Linked DNA regions of Stegostoma tigrinum. The protein of the gene in region 2 purifies or fractionates together with the protein of the main gene of each other region. This does not show direct contact. Links are inferred from orthologs where the notes say so. Each region holds a gene or a part of one and is shown on either strand. Other genes may lie near its edges. The genes, in order: dnajb6b and mlf1.

The links.
Region 1: the proteins of mlf1 (region 2) and dnajb6b purify together in Homo sapiens (affinity purification with mass spectrometry; 3 studies listed by BioGRID and IntAct, counting the BioPlex papers as one, with this or other methods). This does not show direct contact. The link is inferred for Stegostoma tigrinum from reciprocal best matches to the Homo sapiens genes MLF1 and DNAJB6.

What each region holds. Positions count from the first base shown.
Region 1 is NC_081355.1:140,058,214-140,070,693, forward strand, and holds the start of dnajb6b (dnaJ homolog subfamily B member 6b), read right to left. Parts: upstream 4,837-12,480; 5' UTR 4,692-4,836; intron 1-4,691. UniProt on the Homo sapiens protein: Has a stimulatory effect on the ATPase activity of HSP70 in a dose-dependent and time-dependent manner and hence acts as a co-chaperone of HSP70. Plays an indispensable role in the organization of KRT8/KRT18 filaments.
Region 2 is NC_081367.1:25,751,929-25,764,508, forward strand, and holds the start of mlf1 (myeloid leukemia factor 1), read left to right. Parts: upstream 1-6,769; 5' UTR 6,770-6,902; coding exon 6,903-6,937; intron 6,938-12,580. UniProt on the Homo sapiens protein: Involved in lineage commitment of primary hemopoietic progenitors by restricting erythroid formation and enhancing myeloid formation.

The DNA.
Region 1 (12,480 bases), on a different chromosome or scaffold from region 2:
ACGGCAGGGGAGAAGATAGACGGAGACACACACACACACACACACACACACACACGGCAGGGGAGAAGATAGACGGAGACACACACACACACACACACACACACACGGCAGGGGAGAAGATAGACGGAGACACACACACACACACACACACACACGGCAGGGGAGAAGATAGACGGAGACACACACACACACACACACACACACACACACACACACGGCAGGGGAGAAGATAGACGGAGACACACACACACACACGGCAGGGGAGAAGATAGACGGAGACACACACACACACACACACACGGCAGGGGAGAAGATAGACGGAGACACACACACACACACACACACGGCAGGGGAGAAGATAGACGGAGACACACACACACACACACACACACACACACACACGGCAGGGGAGAAGATAGACGGAGACACCCACACACACACGGCAGGGGAGAAGATAGACGGAGACACCCACACACACACGGCAGGGGAGAAGATAGACGGAGACACCCACACACACACGGCAGGGGAGAAGATAGACGGAGACACACACACACACACGGCAGGGGAGAAGATAGACGGAGACACACACACACACACGGCAGGGGAGAAGATAGACGGAGACACACACACACACACACACACGGCAGGGGAGAAGATAGACGGAGACACACACACACACACGGCAGGGGAGAAGATAGACGGAGACACACACACACACACACACACACACACACGGCAGGGGAGAAGATAGACGGAGACACACACACACACACACACACACACACACGGCAGGGGAGAAGATAGACGGAGACACACACACACACACACACACACACACACACACACACGGCAGGGGAGAAGATAGACGGAGACACACACACACACACACACACACACACACACACACACGGCAGGGGAGAAGATAGACGGAGACACACACACACACACACACACACGGCAGGGGAGAAGATAGACGGAGACACACACACACACACACACACACGGCAGGGGAGAAGATAGACGGAGACACACACACACACACACACACACACACGGCAGGGGAGAAGATAGACGGAGACACACACACACACACACACACACGGCAGGGGAGAAGATAGACGGAGACACACACACACACACACACACACACGGCAGGGGAGAAGATAGACGGAGACACACACACACACACACACACACACACACACACACACGGCAGGGGAGAAGATAGACGGAGACACACACACACACACACACACACGGCAGGGGAGAAGATAGACGGAGACACACACACACACACACACACACGGCAGGGGAGAAGATAGACGGAGACACACACACACACACACACACACGGCAGGGGAGAAGATAGACGGAGACACACACACACACACACACACACGGCAGGGGAGAAGATAGACGGAGACACACACACACACACACACACGGCAGGGGAGAAGATAGACGGAGACACCCACACACACACGGCAGGGGAGAAGATAGACGGAGACACCCACACACACACGGCAGGGGAGAAGATAGACGGAGACACCCACACACACACGGCAGGGGAGAAGATAGACGGAGACACCCACACACACACGGCAGGGGAGAAGATAGACGGAGACACCCACACACACACGGCAGGGGAGAAGATAGACGGAGACACCCACACACACACACACACACACGGCAGGGGAGAAGATAGACGGAGACACACACACACACACACACACACACACGGCAGGGGAGAAGATAGACGGAGACACACACACACACACACACACGGCAGGGGAGAAGATAGACGGAGACACACACACACACACACACACACACGGCAGGGGAGAAGATAGACGGAGACACACACACACACACACACACGGCAGGGGAGAAGATAGACGGAGACACCCACACACACACGGCAGGGGAGAAGATAGACGGAGACACCCACACACACACGGCAGGGGAGAAGATAGACGGAGACACCCACACACACACGGCAGGGGAGAAGATAGACGGAGACACCCACACACACACGGCAGGGGAGAAGATAGACGGAGACACCCACACACACACACACACACACGGCAGGGGAGAAGATAGACGGAGACACACACACACACACACACACACACGGCAGGGGAGAAGATAGACGGAGACACACACACACACACACACACGGCAGGGGAGAAGATAGACGGAGACACACACACACACACACACACACACGGCAGGGGAGAAGATAGACGGAGACACACACACACACACACACACGGCAGGGGAGAAGATAGACGGAGACACCCACACACACACGGCAGGGGAGAAGATAGACGGAGACACCCACACACACACGGCAGGGGAGAAGATAGACGGAGACACCCACACACACACGGCAGGGGAGAAGATAGACGGAGACACCCACACACACACGGCAGGGGAGAAGATAGACGGAGACACCCACACACACACGGCAGGGGAGAAGATAGACGGAGACACCCACACACACACGGCAGGGGAGAAGATAGACGGAGACACCCACACACACACGGCAGGGGAGAAGATAGACGGAGACACCCACACACACACGGCAGGGGAGAAGATAGACGGAGACACCCACACACACACGGCAGGGGAGAAGATAGACGGAGACACCCACACACACACGGCAGGGGAGAAGATAGACGGAGACACCCACACACACACGGCAGGGGAGAAGATAGACGGAGACACCCACACACACACGGCAGGGGAGAAGATAGACGGAGACACCCACACACACACGGCAGGGGAGAAGATAGACGGAGACACCCACACACACACGGCAGGGGAGAAGATAGACGGAGACACCCACACACACACGGCAGGGGAGAAGATAGACGGAGACACCCACACACACACGGCAGGGGAGAAGGTAGACGGAGACACCCACACACACACGGCAGGGGAGAAGATAGACGGAGACACCCACACACACACGGCAGGGGAGAAGATAGACGGAGACACCCACACACACACGGCAGGGGAGAAGATAGACGGAGACACCCACACACACACGGCAGGGGAGAAGATAGACGGAGACACCCACACACACACGGCAGGGGAGAAGATAGACGGAGACACCCACACACACACGGCAGGGGAGAAGATAGACGGAGACACCCACACACACACGGCAGGGGAGAAGATAGACGGAGACACCCACACACACACGGCAGGGGAGAAGATAGACGGAGACACCCACACACACACGGCAGGGGAGAAGATAGACGGAGACACCCACACACACACGGCAGGGGAGAAGATAGACGGAGACACCCACACACACACGGCAGGGGAGAAGATAGACGGAGACACCCACACACACACGGCAGGGGAGAAGATAGACGGAGACACCCACACACACACGGCAGGGGAGAAGATAGACGGAGACACCCACACACACACGGCAGGGGAGAAGATAGACGGAGACACCCACACACACACGGCAGGGGAGAAGATAGACGGAGACACCCACACACACACGGCAGGGGAGAAGATAGACGGAGACACCCACACACACACGGCAGGGGAGAAGATAGACGGAGACACCCACACACACACGGCAGGGGAGAAGATAGACGGAGACACCCACACACACACGGCAGGGGAGAAGATAGACGGAGACACCCACACACACACGGCAGGGGAGAAGATAGACGGAGACACCCACACACACACGGCAGGGGAGAAGATAGACGGAGACACCCACACACACACGGCAGGGGAGAAGATAGACGGAGACACCCACACACACACGGCAGGGGAGAAGATAGACGGAGACACCCACACACACACGGCAGGGGAGAAGATAGACGGAGACACCCACACACACACGGCAGGGGAGAAGATAGACGGAGACACCCACACACACACGGCAGGGGAGAAGATAGACGGAGACACCCACACACACACGGCAGGGAAGATAGACGGAGACACCCACACACACACGGCAGGGGAGAAGATAGACGGAGACACACACACACACACGGCAGGGGAGAAGATAGACGGAGACACACACACACACACGGCAGGGGAGAAGATAGACGGAGACACACACACACACACACGGCAGGGGAGAAGATAGACGGAGACACACACACACACACACACGGCAGGGGAGAAGATAGACGGAGACACACACACACACGGCAGGGGAGAAGATAGACGGAGACACACACACACACACGGCAGGGGAGAAGATAGACGGAGACACACACACACACACGGCAGGGGAGAAGGTAGACGGAGACACACACACACACACGGCAGGGGAGAAGGTAGACGGAGACACACACACACACGCGGCAGGGGAGAAGACAGACAAAGACATACACAAGTTGGAGAATACAGGAATGGAAGAGAGGCTTTTGTTTTCTTTGGTCAGCACCCCATCTCCATAACAACCTGTTTCCTCAAGCGAAATCAGCTTTATTCCAAGGCCGAAAGGCCCACGCATTTAGATAAACCAACGGCCTTTCACCCATTTTGTTTTGTCTCTGTCTCTCTCTCTCTCTCTCTCTCTCTCTCTCTCGCTGGCAGTACGCCTCCCCCGTTCGGCCTCACTCCCCTCTGCCAGCATAAATCTGAGCTGACGACAATCGCGACCGGCTACGCGCTTGGGAGGCTATCCTGGAGTATTCTTTTTAAGGTCTCACCTCTCGGTTCCGTACGCCTGCTCCGACTTACTACAACCCAGACTTCGCCCTCACCAACAACTCCCGCTCTAGAAACATCCACCGGCCGCCGAACGGAGAGAGGGGAAAAAAATCTCCGCTTCGTCACTTCCTTTTGGCAGTTATTGCGTCATTATGACGTCGCCCGACCGCTGCTCATATGTGACGTCACCTTTGAAATTTCTGGAAAATGGCGAGAGAACGGTGGCCTGGTATCACGTGGTGGTGATGTGAAGCCGGCTAATCGTTCACCACACAAGCGGGGAAAACAAAGCACTGGAGTTTACAGGAATGAAAGGTGATCTCAATGAAACATCTTGGATTCGTAAGGGGCTTGACAGGGTCAATGCTGGGAGAAACAAAAACAGAAGTTGCTAGAAAAGCTCAGCAGGTCCGGCAGCATCCGTGAAGAAAAAAACTCAAGAGTTTAACGTTTCGGGACCAGTGACCCCTTGCTCAGTACACATTTTTTCTTCTTCACTGATGATAACAGACCAGCTGAGCTTTTCCTGCAACTTCTGTTTTTGTTGTTGGCCCCAATTTAGGACTGATATGAGGAGGAATTTCTTCTCTCACAGGGTTGTGGACTGTTTGCCACAAAGAACCAAGAGTTCTTGTGTGCGTTTATGGCTAATATAGGATCTTAATCAGTAGGGAAATAAAGGGTTATAGTGATAAGGCAGGAAAGTGGATGTGAGGAATGTCTGATAAGCCATGATTTATTGAATGGTGGAACACGCTTGAGGTTACTCCCGTTCCTAATTCTTAAGTTTTTATGATAGTACAGGCTAGAACACACCTTTGACACTGTTGGAATTTCCACCTGGGCTCTGTTGCCCAGTGGTTGGACATTACATTGTGCGATCCTCTTTATGCATAGCCAAACACGCAGGCATCAGCCTTATTTGTTCACAATAATCCCACCTTTTTTAGGGATGAGGAAATGTTCAGCAAGTACTTAATAGAGTGAAGAAGAATGAGACTTATAAGATCTTGAGGTTAAGTGTGGAGCTGGAGGAACACAGCAGATCAGGCAGCATCAGGGAGACAGTCTAGAGGAATGGCGTAAACCTGAAACATCGACATTCCTGTAACTCTGAAACTGCATTACCTGCTGTGATCCTCCAGTTCCACACTGTATTGACACTGACTCCAGCATCTTTGGTTACTACTGTCTCCTAGTGACTTTAGATCTTAAGGTTACTTGACACGATGGATGCTAAGCGGATGGAACAGTGCAGAGCATGGTTTCAAAATAGCAGGTGATCCATTTAAGACTGAGATAATACGCTTGGAGTCTACTTCCTCTGGATCCAGTGGTTGAATTGGTTCAAGATGCAGTTGGGTGGATATTTGATAAGTGGGAGGAAATAGTTAGCGGGAATAGGGCACTCAGGAGAGTGGAGTTGAAAACTGCAGTCACATCAACTTGATCTTACTGAACAGCAAAACATGCTGAAGTGTCCAAATGGCCTACTCATTGTTCTTGTGTTCTTGATTTGAGTATTGCTGAAATTGGACAAAACAATAACCCCACCACCAAAAACATTTTTCCATCCCCACCCTTGCCTGCCTTCCGGAGAGACCACTCTCTCCGCGACTCCCTTGTCCGCTCCACACTCCCCTCCAACCCCACCATACCCGACACTTTCCCCTGCAACCGCAGGAAGTGCTACACTTGCCCCCACGCCTCCTCCCTCACCCCAATCCCAGGCCCCAAGATGACTTTCCATATTAAGCAGAGGTTCACCTGCACATCCGCCAATGTGGTATACTGTATCCATTGTACCCGGTGTGGCTTCCTCTACATTGGGGAAACTAAGCGGAGGCTTGGGGATCGCTTTGCAGAATACCTCTGCTCGGTTCGCAATAAACAACTGCACCTCCCAGTCGCGAACCATTTCAATTCCCCTTCCCATTCTTCAGATGACATGTCCGTCATGGGCCTCCTGCAGTGCCATAATGATGCCACCTGTAGGTTGCAGGAACAGCAACTCATATTCCGCTTGGGAACCCTGCAGCCCATTAGTATCAATGTGGATTTCACTAGCTTCAAAATCTCCCCTCCCCCACTTCATCCCAAAACCAGCCCAGCTCGTCCCAGCCTGCCTAACCTGTTCTTCCTCACATCTATCCCCTCCTCCCACCTCAAGCCGCACCTCCATTTCCTACCTACTAATCGCCCCTTGACCTGTCCATCCTCCCCGGGCTGACCAAACCATTCCCTACCTCCCCACCCATACTCTCCTCTCCACCTATCTTCTCCTCTATCCACCTCCCCTTCTCTCCCTATTTATTTCAGAATCGTCTCCCCATCCCCCTTTTCTGATGAAGGGTCTAGGCCCGAAACGTCAGCTTTTGTGCTCCTAAGATGCTGCTTGGCCTGCTGTGTTCATCCAGTTCTACACTTTGTTATCTTGGATTCTCCAGCATCTGCAGTTCCCATTAGCTCTGTCAAAATGCCTGTTTCAACTATATCAAGTTCTGTTCAACCAGGTAACTCTTTTTTCTTGATTTGGTACAGATATTCAAGATCAAGTGCAGCTTAACACAGTAGAGAGGAAGAAGCAAGCCTATGAAGGCATGAATTTTAAAGGTATTTGAGGAAAGTGTACAAGATCATGAGGCATAGATGGACTGGATAGCCAGAGACATTTTCCCAGGGCAGAAATGACTAGTCCAAGAGGGCATAATTTTAAGGTGATAGGAGGAAGGTACAGGGGAGATGTCAGAAGTAGGTTCTTTACACAGAGAGTGGTGGGCACATGGAATGCACTGCCAGCAGTAGTAGTGGAGTCAGATACTTTACAGACTTTTAAGTGTCTCTTGGATAGGCACATGGTTGATAATAAAATGTAGGGTATGCAGGGTAGCTTGATCTTAATAGGATAATAGGTTGGCACAACAGTGTAGCCAAAGAGTCTGTACTGTGCTGTACTGTTCTATGTTCTAGAAGAAAAAGTGATGAACATGGGAAATGTTCATGCAACAAATAGTTAGAATCTGGAATGTACTCCCTGTGAGTTTGCTAGTGGCATTCAAAAATCAGTTGGGGTACTATTTGAAAAGGAAAGTTGTGCAGTGCCACAGCTTGAGGACTAAGGAGTGGCACTTGGTGAATTGCTCCTGAAAAGAGTTGGTGCAAACACGACAAGCTAAACAAGTTCCTTCTGTGCAGTAATTATTCTACAACTCCGCAGTAGATTTCTCATGTCTCACTTATCTACACTATGTTTCATCCTTTTTCTGAAAATGACTGTATTAATTTTAATCCATCTTATTCTTTCAAAGAGGGAAATATATTCTTTTTGGAGTGCGTTCTTTTCATAGTTGATCTGGGTCAGTCATATGATGTGGGTCTTGTTAACTAGACCAGCATTTTATTGTCCTGGTTTGAGAAGATGGTGGTAAGCCCCTTTCATTAACTGATGTTGACCTTAAGATAGCAAAAATACCTCCAGTACTAGCAGGACACCGTTCCCCAAATTTTAATCTAGTGGCAGTAAAGGAATAGCAATTATAGTTCCAAGTCATGATGGTGTGTAACTTTGAACGAAATATGTGAGTGGTTGCACTCCTGTGTATCTGTTGCCTTGTCCTTCTAGATGTTGGAGACCACTGGTTTGGAAGGTGCTGTTGAGGGAGTCTTGGTGAGTTACTGACAACTCAGTGTGGAGCTGGAGAAACACAGCAGGTTAGGCAGCATCAGAGAAGCAGGAAAGTTGATGTTTCGGGTTAGGACCCTTCTTCAGGACTGGGCTGAAGAAGTGTCCTGCCCCGAAAAACCAACTTTCCAACTTCAAACTGTGTTGTCTCTGACTCGAGCATCTGCAGTACTTACTATCTTTTGGTAAGTTACTGCTGCACTTCTTCGAGATGGCACATGTTGCTGCCGCTGTGTGGAGGTGGTGTAGGGACTGAATGTTTGAGGTGGTGGATTAGTATCATTCCAGTAGACTACTTTGCCCTGGGTGGTGTTAAGCTTCTTGAGTGTTGTGGAGCTGTACTCATCCCGGCAATTGGGAGTATTTCATCACACTCCTTATTTGTGTCTTGTAGAAGATAGATTAGATTTGGGAACTTAGGACGTGAGTTACTTGCCACAGAATTCTAAGACTCTGACGTATTTTTGTAGCCAGAGTATAAATGTAACTAGTTCAGTTCAGTTTCTGGTCAATGATATCTCACAGGATGTTGATATCGGAGAATTTATTGATAGTAATCCCACCGAATGTCAAGAGGCACTAGTTAGATTCTCTCATTAGAGATGGCCATTGCCTGTGGATGTTAACTGTCACCTATCAGCCAAAATCTGGATAATGCCCAGGTATTTCTGCGTATGAGCATCGACTGCTTCAGTATCTGAGGAGTTGCAAATGGTATTCAATATTGCGCAATCGTCAGCAACCATCTCCACTTCTTACCTTATACAGGAGAGAAAGTCATTGATAAAGCAATTGATAAAGAACTCCTGCAGTAGTGTCCTGAGAATGACATAACTGACCTTCAAGAACCACAGCTATCCTGTTGGGTAGGTCTCAGTTTTGTAGATGTTCTGAAGCAGCTTGGTTAGGAACATGACTATTTCTACACCCAAACTTTAGTGTTATTGCTGGAATGTTGTGAGGGCTCTTTTTTAAAACCTATTTTTCTAATCAAACAGTTCAGAGATGTTATTACACCTCTGGAGCAGGTGAAACTTGAATCCAGGCCCCTCAGTCCAGGCATAGGAACACTACCACTGCACCATAAGAGGGCAGCATCAGGGATCATTGCATTTGTAGTATCCAGCACGTTCAGATGTTTCTTGTTAACATGTTGTCAGTCAAATTGTCGAAAAACTGAATATGTGACATCGGGTACCTAAGGAGAAGGCTAAGATATATAATTTATTTGGTGCTTCTGGTGGAAGATGGATGCAAGTACCTTAGCTTTGTCCTTTGTCCGGATATGCCAAGCTACTCCATCAATCCCCATACCCTATTCCCAATTCCTTCGTCTCCGCCACATCTGCTCCCAGGATGAGGCATTCCACTCCCGCACATCCCAGATGGCCAAGTTCTTCAAGGACCGCCACTTCCGCCCCGCAGTGGTTGAGAACGCCCTTGACCGTGTCTCCCGCATTTCCTGCAGCTTACATCCCTCACACCCCACCCCTGCCATAACCGCCCTAAGAGGATCCCCCTCGTCCTCACATACCACCCCACCAACCTCCTGATATAACGCGTTATCCTCCGACACTTCCACCATCTACAATCCGCCCCCACCACCCAAGACATTTTTCCATCCCCACCCTTGTCTGCCTTCTGGAGAGACCACTCTCTCCGTGACTCCCTTGTCCGCTCCACACTCCCCTCCAACCCCACCACACCCAGCACCTTCCCCAGCAACTGCAGGAAGTGCTACACTTGTCCCCACACCTCCTCCCTCACCCCCATCCCAGGCCCCAAGATGACTTTCCATATTAAGCAGATGTTCACTTGCATATGTGCCGATATAGTATACTGTATCCACTGTACCCGGTGAGGCTTTCTCTACATTGGGGAAACCAAGCGGAGGCTTGGGGACTGCTTTGCTGAACGCCTCCGCTCGGTTCGCAATAAACTACTGCACCTCCCAGACGTGAACCATTTTAACTCCCCCTCCCATTCCTTAGAGGACATGTCCATCATGGGCCTCCTGCAATGCCAGAATGATACCACCTGAAAGTTGCAGGAACAGCAACTCATATTCCGCTTGGGAACCCAGCAGCCCAATGGTATCAGTGTGGACTTCACAAACTTCAAAATCTCCCCCTCCCCGACTTCATCCCAAAACCAGCCCAGCTCGCCCCCCTCCCCCCATTGCATCCCAAAACAAGCCCAGCTCATGTGGGATTAATGATGTAACCATTCAAAAGCACCTACCAACTGAAACCAAACTGGACTTCAAATAGGCACTACAACTGGCTTTATCAATGGAAAATGTGACAAGTGGAGCGTGGGAGTTACAGGGTATTCCAATAGACGTGGACACCCTTGCCGGTCCAAGTGAGTGTGAGGAACTCCACTTGAGTAAACACAGTTGCAGTGCATCACTCAGGACTTATCCTGAACAGAGGAACGCGAGGTCAGTCCACAGCAAAACACTAAAACAAAGCCAAGCCTCAGCCAAATGGTGAAAAATTTTCTTCGGGATCTGGGCTGACAAGCCATTGTAGTTATTGCCGGTATGCAGACTCAAGACAGCAAAAGAGTCCCATTGGATCAAAAAGGAATAAGAGAACTCATTAGGCAGTATCCAAGCGAGTGCACATGCTGGAGAGTCCACGGACACATGGTTTGGAGCAGTTAAATTGCTTAGCAAAATCAAAATCAGAACCAATCAAAATAAAATCTGGTTAAATGGTCACCCAGTTCTAACGGAGGTCGAAGATAACAAAGTATGAAGCTGGACGAACACAGCAGGCCAAGCAGCATCTCAGGAGCACAAAAGCTGACATTTCGGGCCTAGACCCTTCATCAGAGAGGGGAATGGGGAGAGGGTTCTGAAATAAATAGGGAGAGAGGGGGAGGCGGACTGAAGATGGAGAGAAAAGAAGATAGGTGGGGAGGGGATAGGTCAGTCCGGGGAGGATGGACAGGTCAAGGAGGCGCGATGAGGTTGGTAGGTGGGAAATGGAGGTGTGGCTTGAGGTGGGAGGAGGGGATAGGTGAGACGAAGGACAGGTTAGGGAGGCGGGGACGAGCTGGGCTGGTATTGTGATGCAGTGGGGAGAGGGGACAAGCTGGGCTGGTTTTGGGATGAAGTTGGTTGGGGGGGAGATTTTGAAGCTTGTGAAGTCCACATTGATACCATTGGGCTACAGGTTCCCAAGCGGAATATGAGTTGCTCTTCCTGCAACCTTCGGGTGGCATCATTGTGGCACTGCAGGAGACCCATGATGGACATGTCATCTAAGGAATGGGAGGGGGAGTTAAAATGCTTCGTGACTGGGAGGTGCATCAACACATCTCTCACCTTCCTGGTCACCTCTGTCTCCATCTCAGGCAACCAGCTAGAAACTGATGTCCACCTCAAGCCCACTGACTCCCACAGCTACCTAGAATACACCTCCTCCCACCCACCACCCTACAAAAATTCTATCCCCTATTCCCAAGTCATTCACCTCCACCGCACCTGCTCCCAGGATGAGATATTCCACTCCCACACGTCCCAGATGTCTGCGTTCTTCAAGGACCGCAACTTCCCCCCCGCAGTGGTCGAGAACGCCCTTGACCATGTCTCCCGCATTTCCCGCAACACATCCCTCACACCCCGCCCCCTCGTCCTCACATCCCACCCCACCAACCTCCAGATACAACCCATCATTCTCCGACATTTCCGCCATCTACAATCCGACCCCACACCCAAGACATTTTTCCATCCCCACCCTCGTCTGCCTTCCGGAGAGACCACTCCCTCTGTGACTCCCTTGTCCGCTCCATGCTCCCCTCCAACCCCGCCACACCCGGCACCTTCCCCTGCAACTGCAGGAAGTGCTACACTTGCCCCCACATCTCTCCCTCACCCCCATCCCAGGCCCCTAGATGACTTTCCATTTTAAGCAGATATTCACCTGCACATCTGCCAATGTAGTATACTGTATCCACTGTAGCCGGTGTGGCTTCCTCTACATTGGGGAAACCAAGTGGAGGCTTGGGGACCGCTTTGCAGAACACCTCCGCTCGGTTCGCAATAAACAACTGCACTTCCCAGTCACGAATCATTTTAACTCCCCCTCCCATTCCTT
Region 2 (12,580 bases):
GGTTTGGGGCCTGTGTAGGTGCGGAAGAGGGACTGTTCCACATAACCTACAAAGAGGCAGGCATAGCTTGGGCCCATGCGGGTGCCCATGGCCATCCCTTAGTCTGTAGGAAGTGGGAGGAGTCAAAAGAGAAGTTGTTGAGGGTGAGGACGAGTTCGACTAGGCAGATGAGGGTGTCGGTGGAGGGGGACTGGTCGGGCCTGCAGGACAGGAAGAAGCGGAGGGCCTTGAGGCCATCTGCATGCGGAATGCAGGTGTATAGGGACTGGATGTCCATGGTGAAGATGAGGTGTTGGGGGCCAGGGAATTGGAAGTCCTGGAGGAGGTGGAGGGCGTGGGTGGTGTCACGGACGTATGTGGGGAGTTCCTGGACCAAAGGGGAGAAAATGGAGTCCAGATAGGTGGAGATGAGTTCGGTGGGGCAGGAGCAGGCTGAGACGATGGGTCGACCAGGGCAGGCAGGTTTGTGGATTTTGGGAAGGAGATAGAAACGGGCCGTGTGGGGTTGGGGAACAATGAGGCTGGCGGCTGTGGGTGGGAGGTCCCCTGAGGTGATGAGGTCATGAATGGTATTGGAGATGATGGTTTGGTGCTCGGGTGTGGGGTCATGATCGAGGGGGCGGTAGGAGGTGGTGTCAGAGAGTTGGCGTATGGCCTCGGCGATGTAGAGGTCAGTGCGCCATACTACCACTGCACCGCCCTTGTCTGCGGGTTTGATGGTGAGGCTGGGGTTGGAGCGGAGGGCTGCCCGTTCTGCGGGGGAGAGGTTGGAGTGGGTGAGAGGGGTGGAGAGGTTGAGGCGGTTAATGTCTCAACGGCAGTTGGAGATGAAGAGGTCGAGGGAGGGTAGGAGGCCTGGGGGTGGTGTCCAGGAGGAGGACTTGTGTTGGAAGTGGGTGAAGGGGTCAGTGGAGGCGGGGTTAGGCTCCCAGTTGAAGAAGTAGGCATGGAGGCGAAGACGGCGGAAAAACTGCTCTATGTCCAATCGTGACTGGTATTCGTTGATGTGTGGTTGTAGGGGGACAAAGGTGAGCCCCTTACTAAGGACTGACCGTTCGTCCTCGATCGTGGGAGGTCTGGGGGGATGGTGAAGATGCGGCAGGGTTCGGTGTGGCTGTCTCCTCTGGGGTTGCTGGCTGTGGAGGTTGTGGGCGGAGCGATGAGGGCGTCGGCCATGGGCGGGGTTCCGTCGGCGTCGGCCGTGGGCGGGGTTCCGTCGGCCGTGGGCGGGGTTCCGTCGGCGTCGGCTTTGGGCTGGGTTCCGTCAGCGGTGGGAGGATCGGGGTGGGCGGCAGCAGCTGCGGTGAGGGTGGTGTGTGAGGTGTTGTGACTGGAAGTGGAGGCGGTGACTGCAGCAGCGGTCCCGGAAGTGGTGTGGCCGGCGGAGGCGGATGTGACGTCATCGGTGGGGTCTCCGGCCGTGTCCTCATGGTCAATGGCAGCGGGTGCATGGTGGGGGAGGGGCAGGGACAGACTCGGGATTTGGGAGGCGCAGGGATCCTCTTGTGGGAGGCAGGGGCCAGTGAGTTGGTTGTACTTACGATTTTTGGTGTCCAGTAAAGCTAAGTGGAACTGGGTGTTCAGTCTGTGGATCCTGCGGAGGATAAAAAACAGCAGGGGTCCTTTGCAGGTCTGGGAGAGGGAGGCACTGAGCTGGGGCAGGCTGGATTGCAGTGTGTGGAGGTGCCGGCGCATGGCTGCGAGTGTCTGTTTCAGGAGTCGCAGGGAGAAACGCTTCTGAAGGGTCTGAATATTCTGGGTATAGAGGTGGTCACGGTTGGGGCCAAATTGGGAAGGCTGAAATGTCGTTCTCACACACCACCCCACCAACCTCCGGATACAACGCATCATCCTCCGACACTTCCGCCATCTACAATCCGACCCCACCACCCAAGACATTTTTCCATCCCCACCCCTGTCTGCTTTCCGGAGAGACCACTCTCTGCGTGACTCCCTTGTTCGCTCCACACTGCCCTCCAACCCCACCACACCCGGCACCTTCCCCTGCAACCGCAGGAAATGCTACACTTGCCCCCACATCTCCTCCCTCACCCCTATCCCGGGCCCCAAGATGACATTCCACATTAAGCAGAGGTTCACCTGCACATCTGCCAATGTGGTATACTGCATCCACTGTACCCGGTGTGGCTTCCTCTACATTGGGGAAACCAAGCGGAGGCTTGGAGACTGCTTTGCAGAACACCTCCGCTCAGTTCGCAACAAACAACTGCACCTCCCAGTCGCAAACCATTTCCACTCCCCCTCCCATTCTTTAGTTGACATGTCCATCATGGGCCTCCTGCAGTGCCACAATGATGCCACCCGAACGTTGCAGGAACAGCAACTCATATTCCGCCTGGGAACCCTGCAGCCTAATGGTATCAATGTGGACTTCACCAGTTTCAAAATCTCCCCTTCCCCAACTGCATCCCTAAACCAGCCCAGTTCGTCCCCTCCCCCCACTGCACCACACAACCAGCCCAGCTCTTCCCCTCCACCCACTGCATCCCAAAACCAGTCCAACCTGTCTCTGCCTCCCTAACCTGTTTTTCCTCTCACCCATCCCTTCCTCCCACCCCAAGCCGCACCCCCATCTACCTACTAACCTCATCCCACCTCCTTGACCTGTCCGTCTTCCCTGGACTGACCTATCCCCTCCCTACCTCCCCACCTATACTCTCCTCTCCACCTATCTTCTTTTCTCTCCATCTTCGGTCCACATCCCCTTCTCTCCCTATTTATTCCAGAACGCTCACCCCATCCCCCTCTCTGATGAAGGGTCTAGGCCCGAAACGTCAGCAATGGATTCATGATCATCTTTTAATTCCAGATATTTATTGAATTCAGATTCCACCATCTGCCATGATTGGATTCGAACCCGGGTTCCCAGAATGTTATCTTGATCTCTGGATTAACAGTCTAGTGATAATACCACTAGGCCATCACCTCCTTTTGTTCATGTCAGTAAAGGGAAGATATAACGTTCATGGTCTCGTGAGACCAATTCACTACAGGTTACATGGAAATGGAGAATTTTAGCTCAAATAAATGAGGACAGAAATGATTTTGACCATTTACGGAAGCAAAGCAAATTTGGGACTTACAATAAAGACAAAAACCCAGAAATGCCCAGAGTGTGATCAATTGATGTGTTAGATGTGTTTCAAGATACTATTATACCATGAGCTCTCCTAAATGGACAACCTTCATTGGAGCAGGATATTTTAGTACAAGTAGTGTGTAATGAGGTAGGATTAATAAGAGATCTCACAGTAAAGGATCCTCTGGGGTAGTTTTCATAACTTTATAAAATTACAAATTCAATGCGGGCAATTACGGGGGTATTGAAAAAGAGCCATCGAAAGAAGGCTGGGATAAATAAGTCATATGAAAGTCAGTGGATGAGCAGTGGCAGGCATTTCAACAGGTATTTCATCATGCTCGGCAAAACATTATTCCAGTGAAGAAGGACTCAATGAGCAAGATAAACCACCACGGTTAACAAAGGCAGTCATGGAAATATCCAATCAAAAAGTACAAAACAGTGAAAACTAGTGGTAGGCAAAGGATTGGAATTTCTTTTAGGAACCAGCAGCAAATGACTGAAAAGCTAATAAACAAGGAGAAATTTGAAAGTAAGTTGGCAAGAAATATGAAACAAACAGCAAGAGCTTACATGGGTATATAAACAGGAAGAGAATAGCTGAAGTAAGTATCTATTCCTTGGAGTGCACAAGTGGGAAATTAATTGATTAATTAACTGGGAAACTGTATACAATTTAAACCAATATCTTGTAATTGGCCTTGAGGCAAAGGACATTATAAACTGCCAAAGATAACAGATAAACAAGGTGCTATTAGAGGAAAGGTCTTGTAACAGAAACAAAGTATTTGACAAATTAATGGGATTAATGCAGACAAGTTGCCAGGACCCAATAGCTTGCATCCAAAGATTTTAAAAAGGAGGTGGCGACAGAGATGTTGAGGCATTGGTTGAAATATTCCAGAATTCTTAGGAATCTGGGAGGGTTCCAATAGATTGAAAATCTGCTAATGTGATGCCTGATTCAAAAAGGGAGAGAGACAGACATCAGTAAATTATTAAGACAGTTAGTCTAGGGTCTTCTTGTTAGACTGGAAACCCTTTACACACCAGTTCGTGGAAGTCCCTGAAGAACCTAGACACTGGAAAAATACAGATGGTAGCATACACGATCTCAACCTCTTCAGATTTATCTTGATGACAACTAGATAAACTAAATCTGGCAAGCTGCGTCAGAAGCTTGGCAATTTTGGGCAAACTTATAATTGTCTTGACATAAGGTCTAGTTCTTAAAATGTTCCAGATGTTTTGCTGCACCCTTCAGATGACCACTCATTGATTTTCTGGGACTTGATGAGTTCAAATTCTGCTCCAGAGACTTAAGCCCAAAAATCCAGGCTAATACTCTCGGGGCAATACTAAGATACCGATAACTGTCTCTCACATGGACAATAAAGATGTTATGGTAATACTTCAAAGATGATTACAGGAATTCTTTCTTTTGTCCTGCATATTTTTTATCCCACAACCAACACTACTGAAAGAAGACATTAACCAGTCATAATCATTCGCTGCACACAAATAGATTGCCTTTGTTTTTTGTGTTACAAGGAAGGTTACACATCAAAAAATTCTTAATTAGCTGTAAAGCATTTTGATACATCCCTGAGATTATGAAAAGTGTTAGACAAATGATACTGGGGTGAGTTCGCTGGACAGCTTGATTTCAACACAGAGTCATACCTACATTGGGTTCCATCCCCTCAATAGCTGAGGTTAAGGACTTTCTTTTAGACCGTCTTCCCTCACCTGAGGCAGGGTGACCATGAGTTAAACCAGCACCAGTCATCTCTGTCGCTGATGAGAGGGTAACTTTATGGTCCAGAAGGGCTATAGCAACTTTATACAAATGCAAATCATGTTTTGTTCAAATGAATACTCTGATAATCTTTTGTTCCACATTTATCTCAGCAGCTTAACAATTTTCCAAAATATATTTTGTTTATTTTTCTGTCTTAAAAGTTTTTCTGAGCTCATAGCTCTGGAACCCAAAGCTGGAAAATGGGATTTGTCTGATAAGTTGTTTTTCTGACCTAGCACTGATGAAAGAATGGGCCTTGTGGCCTTCTTCTACACCATGAATATTTTTCCTAAGTAATGTCAGTTATCTTGTAGATAAATGTACATGGTCACTCAATACTTTGTAAACTTTTTCCACCATTATTTTAGTTTTTAATTGCATTAACTGTAAGTTTTGTCCAATTTGAAAAATATTACATTTTCACATTCAAGATTAGCACTTATGTTTCTTAACAAAATTAGTACTTTTATGTTACTCTATCTTCACCTCATTCTGAAATATGATTTTGGTTGGCATTCACTGAAATGCGCTCATTTTAAAGTTTAAATCTTACACCATTTACTAATGGTAAAGCTTGGAGACATTGTGGACCTTGATCAGCAAATATCTACTTTGTATATAACAAAGTGTGGCGCTGGATGAACACAGCAGGCCAAGCAGCATCTCAGGAGCACAAAAGCTGACGTTTCGGGCCTAGACCCTTCATCAGAAAAGGGGGATGGGGAGAGGATTCTGAAATAAATAGGCAGAGAGGGGGAGGCGGATCGAAGATGTGGAGAGGAGACAGACGAGTTAAAGGGGCGGGGATGGAGCCTGTAGAGGTCCGGAGGTAGGGACGGGATAGGTCAGTCCGAGGAGGACGGACAAGTCACTCCCCTCGCATTCCTTAGACGACACATCCATTCTGGGCCTCCTGCAGTACCACAATGATGCCACCCGAAGGTTGCAGGAACAGCAACTCATAGTCCGCTTGGGAACCCTGCAGTCCAATGGTATCAATGTGGACTTTACAAGCTTCAAAATCTCCCCTCCCCCCATTGTATCCGAAAACCAGCCCAGCTCGTCCCCGCCTCCCTAACCTGTTCCTCCTCTCACCTATCCCCTCCTCCCACCTCAAGCCGCACCTCCATTTCCTACCTACTAACCTCATCCCACCTCCTTGGCCTGTCTGTTCTCCCCAGACTGACCTATCCCCTCCCTACCTATACTCACCTCTACAGGTTCCATCCCCGTCTCTTTGACCTGTCTGTCTCCTCTCCGCCTATTTTCTCCTCTATCCACCTTCGGTCCGCCTCCCCCTCTCTCCCTATTTATTTCCAGAACCCTCTCCTCATCCGCCTTTTCTGGTGAAGGGTCTAGGCCCGAAACGTCAGCTTTTGTGCTCCGAAGATGCTGCTTGGCCTGCTGTGTTCATCCAGCTTCACACTTTGTTATCTCGGATTCTCCAACATCTGCAGTTCCCGTTACCTCCACTTCATATATGTTTGTGTTGGATACCACAGGAGCGCGTCGCTATCGCTGTCAGCCAAGCGCGCATGCTTGCCAGCATCTGCAGTTCCCATCGACTATGCTTGCCACTGTATCTCGTGCAAGTGATGTCATAACCCTTCTGTTTGTGATACGGCGGCGCACCGACCTCTGATTGGAGGTTTGGACCATTATCGAGGGAGACGGGCCGATTGGACGGATTTCCACCAATCACCGTGCAGCCCGCCTTGTGCGCGTTGCCATAGCGACGTTGGCGTCGTCCTTCAAAACAAAAACGTGGGTCTGCCTGTTGAAGTTTCCCTGAGAGTCAGTCGGAAGAGGCACGGGCTTCGTTCCCTGAAGGAAGGAAGGGAGGGTGGGTGGGTAGGTAGGTTGGATAGATGATTGTAAGCGATCTGGAGGGCGCTGAGGAATCTGAACGTGCGAGGGCGCATCGCCAAGTTTAAGCGAGGCTGAGAAAGTGCCGAGTCGAGCGGCCGTGACCCCCCCCCCCACCCCGGACCCTACACCATGTTCCGTGAGATCGAGGAAGATCCGTTCTTCTCGTAAGCTTGGGTTACAATATTTGCTTAAATCGCTGGGGTGCTTCCTTTATATTTCCCCTGTATTTCTTTCCACATTTGGGAGAGATATTCCTCTTGAGCAGGGCGTGAGGCTTGTTGGAGGAGGGAGGGGCGTGCGTTTCTTAAACAGTGTAGACGGAGGCACAAAATATATATATTCCCCCATTGTTGGAAGTCGGGAGAGCAAGGATGATGCAGGTTTGATGCAGGCAAAAAAAATCAATGGGAGACAGGAGAAACAAAATCAGAAATTTTTCAGCAGTTCTGGCAGCATCTGTGGAGAGAAATCAAGAGTTAACATTTCGAGTCCAGTGACCAGAACATGAAACATTTCCGGATAGTCATTGATTGGCGTCCAAGTCCTGAAGGCAGGTTCAATGGAAGCATCCAAGTCGGAATTGAATTTTTAAATTCATTTTTGTGGGTTGCGGGTGTCGCTAGCAGGCCAGCATTAATTGCCTGCCCCCAGTTGGTGTTCAAGGATAGTACACACAGCTGCCCCTGAGTATCAGTGGTGGAGGGAGTGAATTCTTGGAGATGAAGTGCCAGTCAAGTGTGCTTTTTTGTTCTGCATGGTATCAAGCTTCTGCAATGTTATTGGAGCTGTGCCCATTCAGGCAATTGGGGTCTATTCCATCACACTCCTGACTCGTGCCTTTGTAAATGGAGAACAGGCTTCGGTGGGGGAAGTGGGGATCAGTAGGTGAGTTACTCACAGTATTCCTGGCCTCTGACCTGCTTTGGTAGTCACTGTGTTTACGTGGTGAGTCCAGTTCAGTTTCTGGTCAATAGTCACCAATCCCCCCCAGGATGTTGTTATTTGGGGAATCAGTGATGCTAACACCATTGGAATGTCAGGGGCAGTGGTTAATTTGTCTGTTATTGATGGTGGTCATAACCTGGCATTTGTGTGATGTGAATATTGTTTGCCACTTGTCAGCCCAAGCCTGGATATTGTCCAGATCTGTTGCATTTGAATTTAGACTGCTTCAGTATTTGAGGAGTTGCAAATGGTGCTGAACATCTTACGATGATGGGAAGGTGATCGAAAAAGCAGCTGAAGATGTTTGAGCCTAGGACACTACCCTGAGCAACTCTGGCAGAGATGCCCAGGAGCTGAGATGACTGACTTTCAGGAGTGGGTTTAGGGTAGTGATGACGTGCAGAAGTTGGGGCTAGGTGTGATTGGATATGGAAGATGGTTGTGGTTGCTAGGGGTCAGTCATCTCAGGATACCCCTGCGGGTGTTTCTTAGGGTGGTGTCGAAGGTCATCCATCTTCAGCTGCTTCATCAATGGCCAGCCATTTGTCATAAATCGAAATGGGATGTTCATTGATGATTGAGTGCACAAATGTTCAGTGCCATTGTCAACTTCTAAGGTACTGAAGCAGTTCATGTTCAAATGCAACAAGGTGTGGATAATATCCACACTTGGGCCAACAAGTGGCAAATAACATTCACATCACACAAAGGCCAGGCAATGACCATCACCAATAATAGGCAATTTCGATGCCGCCCCTTGACATTCAGTGGTGTTAACCATCACTGAATCATGTATTATCAACAACCTTGGATTTACCGTTGACTAGAAACTGAACTGGACTCGCCATAAAAATACAGTGGCTACAAGAGCAGGTCAGAAGCTAGGAATACAGTGGTGAATAACGACTTCCTGACTTCCAAAGCTTGTTCCAAAACTAAGAGGCAATATTTTTAAGGTAGGAGAAGAAAGTGTTTTTTTAATGCAGGAAGTGGTTCATGTGTGGAATGAACTGCCAGAGGAAGCGATGGATGCAGGTACAGTTACAGCATTTAAAAGACATTTGGATAAGTACATGCATAAGAGAAAGTTTGGAGGGATACAAGCCAAATGCAGGCAAATGGGACTAGTTAAGTTTAGGAACATGGTTGGCATGGTCTAGTTGGGCCAAAGTGTTTGTTTCCAAGACTCTAACTACAAGCCAAGAGTGTGATGGACACTCCACACTTGCCTGTATGAACGCCGCTCCAACAAGAAGGTTGACACCATCCAGGACAAATCAGCACATAATTGACATCACATCCACAAACATCCACAACGTCTACCAGAACGCTTCGTAGCAGCAATGTGTACTATCTTCAAGGTTCAATTCAGAAATTTGCTAAAATCTTAAACAGAACCTTCCAAATCCATAACCACTTCTTTCCAGGAGGAAAAGGACTAAGATACATGGGAATGCCGTAATTTGCAAGTTCCCTAGCAAGCCACTCACCATCTTGAGTTATTGCAGTTCCTTCAGTGTAACTGGGTCAAATCCTGGAATTGCCTCCTGAACAAGATTGTGGATCTACTTGCAGTACATGGACTGCAGCAGCTCATGAAGACAGCTCACCACCACCTTCTCAAGGACAATTAGGGACGAACAATGAGAATGACGGCCAACTAGCGACACCCACATCCTGTGGATGAATTTTTAAAAATAGCTTTGTCACCAAACCTCTCTGTTGTGGCCACAGCCCTTTGGTCTAGGCTGGTTGACTAACTTAATTTTACTGGGCTTCTCCGTTATGCTTTGCACAGATTGCACAGCTTTGACTGCTATGTCTCAGCCATTGCCAGGCCTATACCAATGGTGCTCCATAAGTTGCAATATTTATATCTTGGGTCCCCATTCTGAATCTTGGTTTATCATGTCTGGAGTTTAGTTTGATGCCTCTTCCCAATGGGAATATATCTCTCCTGATTTACCCTAGGATCATTCTTATTCCTTAAAGCCTTTCATTTATTCTTCTAGTTCACCCTGAACATAATACAATCTCCATGTTTATCATGATCTTGTCCCTGCACCATCTTTAATTACTTCATTCACAAACTTCCTTTTTGGTTTGAATCCTCAAATGGACCACACAGTTCTTACCTAAACCCTGACTTCATTATTTAACTTGTAATTAAGTAAATATACTCGCTTGTCCGTTGATGTAAAGCCTCAACCTTCCTGCTGAAAAAGCCAGTTGTGGTGAAAATCGTGAAAAATTACCACTGTCACACTTAAAGATTTTATTCAAGTGTAGGCAAATGAGAATATGACTCAATTACCTGGAGAAATGCTCAAAAATCCTGAATTTTCGGTACACATTTGTAATTCTCATCTACATGCTGGCCCATGTAATGCCCACCTTTAGATTTGGCCTGCCCGCCTGCTGGTTTCCATGGTAATTCAACTGTTTTGTCTGACCTATCAGTTCCCCTTATCTCCTTTCTCTATGCAGTAATTAATATACTTACACAGGGTGTTACTTTTACGTGATGAAAAATGTTGAGCATTACTATAGCACTCATTTCAAGAATATCATGCACTTCAATTTTAACCCCATTAATATTAAGCCGTTTATTCTTGCTTTAATGCAAATCATTACTCATTATTTTAATTCAAAAATTGGGTAGCGGAAAGAGGAGAAACAAAATCTAATGAATTGAAATGGGACCTTTTAATAATTGTTCATGTATATTTTTCTTTACATGTTTATTATTACCGAGCTCAAATCACATACAAGACCTGCGAAATGCATCCTGTTCAAACTTTATGACTGAGCAGTTTTCTTTTGTGCCAAATACTTTCTGATCCTAAGTTTATCCAAGAATTGAATACTTCATGTCTGTGGAAATACTTCTCACAACTTTGAACTCCTGATTGAGATGCAAGCCAACCTTGTTTATCAATCACACAGCCTATTTTATGTTCATTACTAGTTAGCTCATTAGTGGATGACTTTCATTGAAGGAAGGTGTGGAGCTGATGGCTGGAATCCAGACCCTGCAGTTTGAGCCCCGACAACCACTCCTGTCCTCCATCACTTGATGTTTCATAAAATTTTAGGGATTGAGCCTTACTTGATAAAAATTTTCCCAGTATCTTCCGTCATTATTGTTGCTTTTACTCTCTAGCTCCCCTCTTCTAGACCAGGTGGACAAGTCCAGATAGTAGATAGGATGAGTGAGGACTGAGATGGGAGGGAGCACAGTATTGAGTGGAGGGTCAAGTGGGGACAGAGGACATTTCTAAGTGAGATTGAAGGGCAGGAGTGAATGAATGTGTGGAGAGAAAGTATGAGAGTTTTGGGGGATGGGGAGGTTGTAATTATGTGAGATTGATAGTCTAAGTAAATAGTAAAAAGCTTTATCAAACATAAACTTGGAAACAGAGGACATCTTATCTAGAGGATGTTACCTAACTACACTACGACATAGATTCTTTGAAACATATTGTTATGATCACAGATCAGAACCACAAAATACTATGGATATTTTGAATTTACTGTTCCAAAATGTTTTTTTTAAAGCGTCAAATACAACAAAAACTGGCTGTGGTTGTAAATGAAGTGACTGTCTCGAGCAAGAGGCACCCACAGAATTTGACAACTACAGATTCAAGTGGAACTTCAAACAGCAGGCCTCCAAACAGGAGGAAAAGACTAGTCAAAACCAACTGGACTGTGAAAGAGGGGCTGACGATTCCCCACTCAACAATTAACGACCCCATGCAAATTAATATGCCAAAGCGCAGATTGTATTTTTCCCTTCAACCATTACATAAGGACAGGAGTTAAAAAAGCCCATTTCTGCTGTATAGAGTGGCGGACGGAGGACATCGCTGAGTGGGATTGAAGGGCAGGAGTGATTGAATGAGACGTTTTGTGTGGAGAGAAGGCATGTGTGAGTGTTAGGAGGGAGGGAAGGTTGGAATGATGTGAGATCGATAGTCTGAGTAAACAGCACTTTAATCTGTTGTCAGATTCTGTGGGTGATCCTTGCTCGAGACCGCTACTTAATTTACAACTACAGCCAGTTTTTTGTTGTATTAGACTCTTTTAAAAGAAACATTTTGGAACAATAAGTTCAAAATATCCATCGTATTTTGTGGTTCTGACCTATGATCTTGACAGCATGTTTGAAATAATCTGTCGTATTGTCGTCAGGTAACACTCTCCAGATAAAATGTCCTCTGTTATTACCATTTTTTATGTTCAGTATCTCAGAAAGATTTCAGTAAGGTGTTTTTGACAAGGTTCCTCATGTTAGACCAGTTAGCAAGGTTAGATCAGTACAGGGAGAACTAGCTTTTTGGATAAAATACTGGCTTGAAAGTAGGAGACAGACGGAGATGGTGGAGGATTGCTTTTCAGACAAGAGGCCTGTGACCAGTTCAAGGATCGGTGCTGGGTTCACTGCTTTTTGCGATTTATATAATTGATTTGGAAGGAAGTATGGTTAATAAGTTTGCAGATGATACTAAAATTGGTGGTCTAGAAGTAAGTAAAGAAGATTACCTCAGAGTACAATGGGATCTTGATCAGATGGGCCAATGGGCCAAGGAGTGGCAGACAGATTTTAATTTAGATTAACATGAGGTGCTGCATTTTGGAAAAGCAAATCAGGACAGGACTCATACAGTTAATGGTAAGGTCCTGGGGAGTGTTGCTGAACAAAGAGACCTTGGAGTGCAGGTTCATAGTTCCTTGAAAGTGGAGTTGCGGGTAGATAGGATAGTGAAGAAGGCATTTGGTATTCTTGCCTTTATTGGTCAGTGCATTGAGCCCAGGAGTTGGGATGTTACATTGCAGCTGTACAGGACATTGGTTCAGCC